Linked DNA regions of Arabidopsis thaliana. The protein of the gene in region 2 purifies or fractionates together with the protein of the main gene of each other region. This does not show direct contact. Each region holds a gene or a part of one and is shown on either strand. Other genes may lie near its edges.

Region 1 (3,928 bases), on a different chromosome or scaffold from region 2:
AACAAACAAACCGGTAACAGTTCGACTATAGAAGAAGGCCAGAGATTGATGATATTGAGAATCTCAGCTTTAGCGAGTTTGAAATCTTTACACTTGTCTGCGGATTTGTTAACGCTCTCTCGTGTTTGAGTGGAAGCAGCAGTCTCCACCAAATAATCATAGACCTATAAATAGATCATTCCAATTAGCAAAAAAAACTCTAAGACCAAGTCAGAAGATAACTATTGCAGGCAAAAGAACCTTGTATTCTGATCTAGCAATTGGAGCAATAACTCTTGTAGTATCTTTTGAAGCACCTCTTGAGTTTAAGAAGTCAAGCAACTCGAAATTGGTAAGTGCTCCTGCATTTGCCTTCATTCTGCAAATAACCACACCAAATTTTGACTACAAAAACAGAGAAGGAAATCGAACAAAAACATAATGAAAGATGGATTATACATTTTCATCTCTTAGGTTGAGCAGAGAGACTTTAAACCAAAAAGAAGCTTTTTCCTTCAATTAAACGAAGTCGTTTTTACAATATGGGAAGAGAACAACACTAAGGATACTCCAAAATCAGAGTTTTTGCTCCTGAAAAATTCAAAGGGAACATCAACATCAAGGAACAGATGATTTCTCGTTCCCACAAATCATGATGCAATGGGAACATCAACATCAATAACGTTTACTAATCAAGATTATCATGAAATAATCATCACTTTCAGTGTCTTCATATAAAACAATTCATCCAAGTCAGACACATATGTAGAATAATCCTAATGCTTTCAGCTTAACTAAACTTAAATAAGCTAATACACATCACAAAACTATACAATTCAGATAAAAAGCATTGTTTAATGTACGAGCAAAAGCATCAACCTTTCAGATAAAAAGCATCAATCCGATGAAACCCAAAAACCAAAAGTTGAAGGATCATACTCATCGATCAATGATCAGTAATGAATGGTATCAAAATCCAATGATCATAAAAGAAAATTTCAAAAGAAAACAAAAAACAGAGGAATCGATGAGCACCTTTGTGATAGAGACCTGAGAAAATCCAATACAAAAACTGAGCCTATTCATTTCAGAATCTCTTTGGAGTCCAAAATCCATATCAAAAGTGATGAATCTTAGCTCTATGGAATCAAATTCAGATTTCAACACAAAGGGTCTCTACATACCTGAAAGGGGGAATCTTTCGACCAAGATATTGATGTGCTTCAATTCATGAAGACCCTAAGAACAAGCAAAGAAGATGTGAGACCTCAATCTATTAGTGTATATAGAGTCTCTGTTGTAATTAGAGTCTTAGTGAGTCATTGTGAACTGGTATTTTGTATAAACCAGTGTAGATAGTGTTGGTTTAGTTCGGTTTAATGGCTATGGTTTAGGCCTCTTACAATTGTATATAAACCCTCAATTGTATCTTTTATCAAATTAATGAGAATGACATTAACTTGGTAATATGATCCATTAACCGATAAAGCTAGCAAGCTCTCCTCTGATCCAAAAAGCTAAGATTGTTTCAGAAACACTAAGAACACTAAGATTGTTTCAGAAATTCACCTCGGACCAAAAAGGATAAACACGCAACACGATGATGATGATTGTTGCTCGTACAACTCGGAATCGGTAGCGAGTTCGAAAACTAAACGGGGCTCCGGTTCGTGACCCGTCTCGATGATGAGTCCAACCTTCCGATGGCGATTCTGAAGCCGCAACAGAGAGGAGACAAAAAGAGGCGATTTCTGAGGAAACTAATTTTTAATGAAACTGGGCCACCCAATTGTCCGTATGGGCGCCCATTATGTCTGCGGACAAAATTGGTCAATAAACTACATGACCCGTTTTATTTATGGGCTGACCACGGACTGCCCATAATGTTTTGGATTGGGCTTAGCCCATAGTCGGATGACCATTTGACAGCTCTAACTATATCTATTTCATCAGCTCAAACCGTGAACAATGCACATCCAGACAATAACGTTCTTGTCGAATATGACCCGTCACGTTCCATTCCTCCACCACCACCGAGCAAGATCTACAAAGTTGGTGACTCCAAGGGATGGAGTGTTTCTCAAGAGAGTGATTTTTATTTCAAGTGGGCAGAGGAAAGACACTTTGATATTGGAGATAATCTTTTTTTTTAATGCGGCAACGACATCTTAGAGATCAGCCGAGACCTTGAATTCATATCATGCGACCCAACTTCTCCCGTGGCGATGCACAAGACAGGGCATGATCTTGTGAAGCTCACCAAACCAGGAGTCCACTACTTCATTACCTCAATGACAAGTCAATCCGAGGCACGAACTTTTTTTTTTTTTTTTGTTGTTGTTGATATACTTTATCGGCTGATCCGGTAAGCCTCGGTAGGAACGCACCGAGGCGCTATAAAGTGGACTTCTCTCGATCCAGATAGAATTGAGCCACCACACTGCCTGGTCCGAGTTTGGAATGCCTTCTGTCTAATGCGAGGCCGGACTTAAGCTACAAGTCGTGGTCGGGCCACTCACCAAGGCTGTAAGCCGATAACTGTCCCCAATGTTCCAACAACGAAGATGGAATTGTCACTTATGGACCGCTTCAACAGATGGTTACACACCTACAGGCCTCAATCTCATCACTAAGCATTCGCTTTCTGTTTGGCTTGAGATTTAGCTATTTAAAGCCTCTTTCTCTTGTTAACGTTTTTAATACTTTTGTTTCGAATGTATTTTTTTCTTTCCCCATAGTTGTAGAGTTGGTTTGATTCAATCAGTATTACATCTGGTTTCCGATTCCTTAAAACATAATTGAAGCATAAACATGTATGAACATCAGTAATTAATATCCCAATGACTTAGGCACTGAATTTGTTCTTTTTTTTTCCGATATATATAGTATCTTTATTGCTATATGGGAACCAATTCATAGTGTTTACCATAATAATGTGAAAGAATGTCATCTTAAGATTCATGTTCTAAGCCTTCAACAACATTGAAACCAAATTTATAATGTTGCATTGAGAAGCTTTACAAAAGAAAACATTAAGTAAAGTGTAACGCAAGACTGAAATAAGAAAGATTTTGATGGAAATAAAAAACCAACCACTCAAATGTTTCCAACACTTCGATAGAGCTAGAAATTGCAATGTAAGTACCTAAAAGGAAGAACTTTTATGAATTGAAGTTAACACTTTTTGGGGTATTAAAAAAACTTCATTTAGGACAACACAACCCTCATAATTCTCAAAACATTTATACACTACCAATTATATCTCGAAGTGCAATGTAAGTACCTATTACCCCAACAAAAACACTCATCACTACCATTCCAAACAACATTATAGTCTCACACCCAATTTTCTTGTAGTTTCCAAAGATCTTCAAGTAACATAAACAAGGCAGAAGTATAGAAACCGTAACGCTCAATAATGCTCCAACCAGCGACATCATATAACCAAAAAAGGGAAGTGTCTCGGCGATCACGACACTACTTATGATGAAAAATGTGCTTATCAAGAGATGTAAGTATGCCTTTTTGGAGTACCGTGAAGGAAACCAATCTTTTATAGTGTTCACGGTTGGTGTGATCATCAGTGCGTATTTGGCTACCGGGTTTACGAGAGTTGTGTATATTGCCACCTTCGAACTCGTCTTATGAATTGGAAGATTCAGTGTTATTTGTGATAATGTTTGTGATCCATACATTAAGTAGCCCAAAACTGCCATTGATGTGTATCCTATGGTGCATAATATAAAACATATTAGTAGGACCTGCACAAACAAAGAGTGAAGTTAACATTATTCATTTTCAATAAACTAGACTTGGGGAAAATAAAATCTTATAAGAAAAGCGAACAAAACAGAAACAAACGAGAAAAAAAAAAACTCTGGAATGGCTCGTTTGAAACCTAATTTATTTTCGGATGACAAAAAAAAAGACGAAAAAGGGTCATGGATTT
Region 2 (3,928 bases):
CTGACAGGCATCGTCAACAATATAGTCTTCTTTCGGTTCTCCATATTCCCACACCCATATCATTTGCTTCCTGTGAACCAAAAAACATTATACTTTGTGATCAAATGATATATAAAGATGTTGGTGCAATCTCCTACTCATAGTTGGAGAGCTGGTAGTACTACATAAACTGCAGGACACATATTCTTACCTATTATAAGGGTCAGGCTCACAGCGGTTGGGTTTCGGCATAAGTGGAGCAGGCACATAAATATCGTCAAAGAATCCAAGTGTTACTGCCAAGTATAGAGGTACCGTAAGCATGTAAATGATTAACCATATCCATGATTTCAAAGTATTAATCCAATTCATAAGTAGCTAATAAGCTAACAATGTACTAGAGTAGCAGGATGCAGACAGTGCACAACATTGGAATTCTTCAGGGAACAGTATAATAAAGTACTCACAGCGCAAGCCATTGGCGTCAGATTCTTTGAACTTTGCAGCTATGACCTCACCAACAAATGGACGGAACACAACAATTCTAAGACCTACCTACAATCACACAAACAAAGTATTAACAACACGACATGAGATATTGAATCAAGGCAAGATAAAACTTTTGAAAATAAAATTCTTAACCAAAACCGTACAGTGAAAGTTAGACTAACAGATAACGATTCCGAAGAACCAAAATCTCAGAATGGTTTGAAACTCTAGTACGGTAATGATGAGTCTACAAAGATGTAACTCAATACAGTGCAGAAAGTGTGCAATACACGGTGATAGGTCAACAATGATGCCACTAACAGTGACATTGGGAGGCCATAAAATTGATATAAAAAACCATGTTCAACTGATAAAAGAATAGAGATGAGAAAAGATCAGCAATTTGGATATACCTTATAGGTCGCAGCACCATCACCGGGTAACACAAACCCTCCTTCTACTGATTTAATGTCGTAAATAGATACACAAAGCCCCAAATCAGCTAAAACCTTTCATAGCAAAAATCCACTTTGATAAAATTAGCCAGGTGTGTATATAAATAAGCAAACAATGGATACCATAAAAGTGAAAGAAAAAGGGCAATGAGCAAACCTTGTCCAAGAACACATTTTGAAGCACTGACTTAATGGCATCTTCGAGAGGGAGATTAAGTAGATGCGGAGGCACTCTTAGTGAATGTTCTAGCTCGCTAAGATAAAACATTTCTGAAAATTTTGTTCAAAATTCACAAGTCAGATGCATGGAAAATTGGAAACAAACAATCAAAGAAGTAGAATTCGAATAACGAATCAGACAAATTCGGAGCATTCTTGGTCATTAACATGCATATCATCAAAAGTTCCAAAATTCAAATCTAAAATTCATTAAATCATAGTACGTAATAATAGCCCAATCCTCAAGATTAAGCATGTGCAGAGCGTACAAAAATCTGCCATTGTCATAACTATACGAGAGAACAAAACTATCTAAAATCGGGCAATACCTAAACCATTGAAGATAAGATGGTCTCGAAGGGAACTCGGAGAGATGGTGATGAAGACAACGATTAGACGGAAAAGTGAGAAGTTGGGAATAGATTGGAAGAAGAGAGAACCTACTAATCGAGTGAGGAAGATGCGGAAGAAGAAGAACGATTTAGGGTTTAGTTATTAAAGTCAAGAATTAAAACAAACCGATCGGTTTGTCATCGTTACGCTTATAAACCGAACCGAACTGAAAACCGCACTCTTTTTATTCATACCGGTGGGCCAAAAAAGGAAATTGGGCCAAGTCCAAGGTATGACAACAATCTGTTGCTGTCAGCCTGTCACTATAGTCTAAGTAATATTAAGCTCTGATGAAAAGTGTGAAAAAAGAAGAACCAAGATATACACTGATGTGGGATAAAGAATGAAGCTAATCATAACATTGATATCATGCTTGAGTAGCTTGTTTAACAAAAAGAATCTGAAACTGAACCTAAGTTGCCAGATTTTTTTTTTTTTTTTTTCGTATCAAGCTTGAAGATTGCACTGTTGCAAGTAGGTGTGATGGTAAGGGACGTGTATGTTCCAGTAACGTTTGTAATTCTCTTTTCCAATGTCCAACCACGGCTTCATGACCCCATCGTAGTGTATAACTGCCGCTTGTTCGATGTCAACCGCTTTGACTCCTGATTCGCGACCTAACCCCATCACATGCCATCTCTTGTCCAATGCTAATGTTTGCCTATAGAAAGTCAACCAACCTATTGGTAAGCTCCCAGCTTTCCACAATGGTCTCTTTGTTCCCTGCCAAAAAAACAAATTCCCCAAAACCATTGTTAGGTTTACGCCCATTACATAGACAAGATATGTTGTTGCTTGTAACCATTCTTCTTCTAGGAGATGATCTTTAGCACTAGCTTGCTTATGTTCTTTGCTAGTTACAGCAATGTTATTTGTGTTCTAAATTCAAAACCTTTCATCCTCGATATAGCCAACCTAAAACCTAATAATTATTACAATCTTTTTCATATATAATGACGAATCAACAAATCTAAGAACCCATTTGAAAACTTTGAATATGGCTACAGTGTTATTTCCATAGGGAGAGCAAGTGCAGTAGAGTGTGTGTGTGTATATAGCGTACCAGGTTGAAGTATTTTATGTATGTAGAAGTCAACTTCCGTATTCTCCATTCTTCGAGATCAATTAGATTCATCCCGAAAGCCCATGTGCAAGCTCTAGGACTAAATTTCCCAGCGACCCATGTGTCTGAGAAATTAATAAATGTGCTCATTGATCGAAATGAAGATTCACCTTCAAGACAAGTCTCTACAGCTCCAACCACCTTTCCTTTCATATCAATGCTCCACAGTCTACTTAAATCTCTTTGAACAACTACATCATGGTCCAAGAGTACCATCTTGTTCAAACCCGGGAATATATCCGGGAGATAGAAGCGTGCGTGATTGAGTGTAGAAATGAATCTTGGGTCATTAGAGTTTTGCTTCATCAGTAATTGATCATAATCTCTAGGCAGGACATCCATATCATCAATGTTTAGGATTTGGATAGTAGCTTTACTTTGAATGTTTAGCAGAAACCACATTGAGATTGCTGGGTAATTAAGTGAATCAGTCACGACATGGAAGACTATTCTTTCTGGCTCCTGCAAACAGCAATCAGAAGCCACATTAATAAGTGGCGGAAGTAAATGAGAAGATATAGTGTAAGACACTCTAAAATTAGGTATAACATATAATGATAACCAAGTAGAAATTTGTATAAGAAATGCATGATACCTTTGATGAAGATATCGTAGAGTTAACAACGACTGAAGAAGCCAAAACATTGTCAGAGAAGACAACATAATGATTGAAATTAGCGTCAAAATAATTTTGCTGGTTAGGCATCTGCCTTTTTTCAGGATCCAGTGAAAAGTATTCTGATGTCAGCCGCATTGAGAGACAGTGAAGCCCTTTTGGGGTGGTCCTTGCTGCAAGCTGCATTAGATACGCTGCTTGATTTTTCTGCGCCTGAACTTGTTCTTCTGTGTTATAATTCATGGCACGGAGTTTGGTAGCGATGGCAGGGCAATTGTTAAAGACACGACTAGCCTTATATAACACATTTTCCATGGGCTTCACCCTGCGGAGAGCGCTGAAAGAAACAATCATGTCAGAGGTTACTAAAATAATATTCTTAAACAGCACGACTTTTGGCACTAAAAGGTTGTAGTTGTAACAGCAAATTTCTGAATGCAATTATGGTATGTTCTCCTTTTGAATCAAGCAGTTGTGCTTACCCCTTTGATAAGTCCTTGTCCTTTGTTGCATCACCAACAGACCGTTCCAGCTCTTTCAGCCGACCTCTCAACTCCTTCACAACTTGAGAGTTACTTCCAGGTGGAGCGAAATTCAGGTAGGCTTTAGCTTGAATAATTTTGTCTCTGATCTCCTTCGTTTTCACATCTGTTG

The links.
Region 1: the proteins of AT1G06790 (region 2) and AT3G28956 fractionate together in Arabidopsis thaliana (co-fractionation; one large-scale study listed by BioGRID). This does not show direct contact.

What each region holds. Positions count from the first base shown.
Region 1 is NC_003074.8:10,981,024-10,984,951, forward strand, and holds the start of AT3G28956 (RNA polymerase II, Rpb4, core protein), read right to left. Parts: upstream 1,683-3,928; 5' UTR 1,549-1,682; intron 1,398-1,548; exon of another isoform or gene 1,219-1,397; 5' UTR 1,164-1,218; intron 1,163-1,163; exon of another isoform or gene 1,015-1,162; intron 571-1,014; 5' UTR 447-570; coding exon 439-446; exon of another isoform or gene 359-438; coding exon 241-358; intron 165-240; coding exon 12-164; coding exon of another isoform or gene 1-11. Other genes in the region: AT3G28958 (Cupredoxin superfamily protein), read left to right, coding at 1,683-1,808, 1,890-2,067, 2,152-2,277, 2,412-2,509; AT3G28960 (Transmembrane amino acid transporter family protein), read right to left, coding at 3,222-3,740.
Region 2 is NC_003070.9:2,084,908-2,088,835, reverse strand, and holds the start of AT1G06790 (RNA polymerase Rpb7 N-terminal domain-containing protein), read right to left. Parts: upstream 1,655-3,928; 5' UTR 1,472-1,654; intron 1,194-1,471; 5' UTR 1,192-1,193; coding exon 1,081-1,191; intron 978-1,080; coding exon 882-977; intron 535-881; coding exon 447-534; intron 276-446; coding exon 191-275; intron 71-190; coding exon 1-70. Other genes in the region: GAUT6 (galacturonosyltransferase 6), read right to left, coding at 1,983-2,258, 2,599-3,120, 3,254-3,611, 3,757-3,928.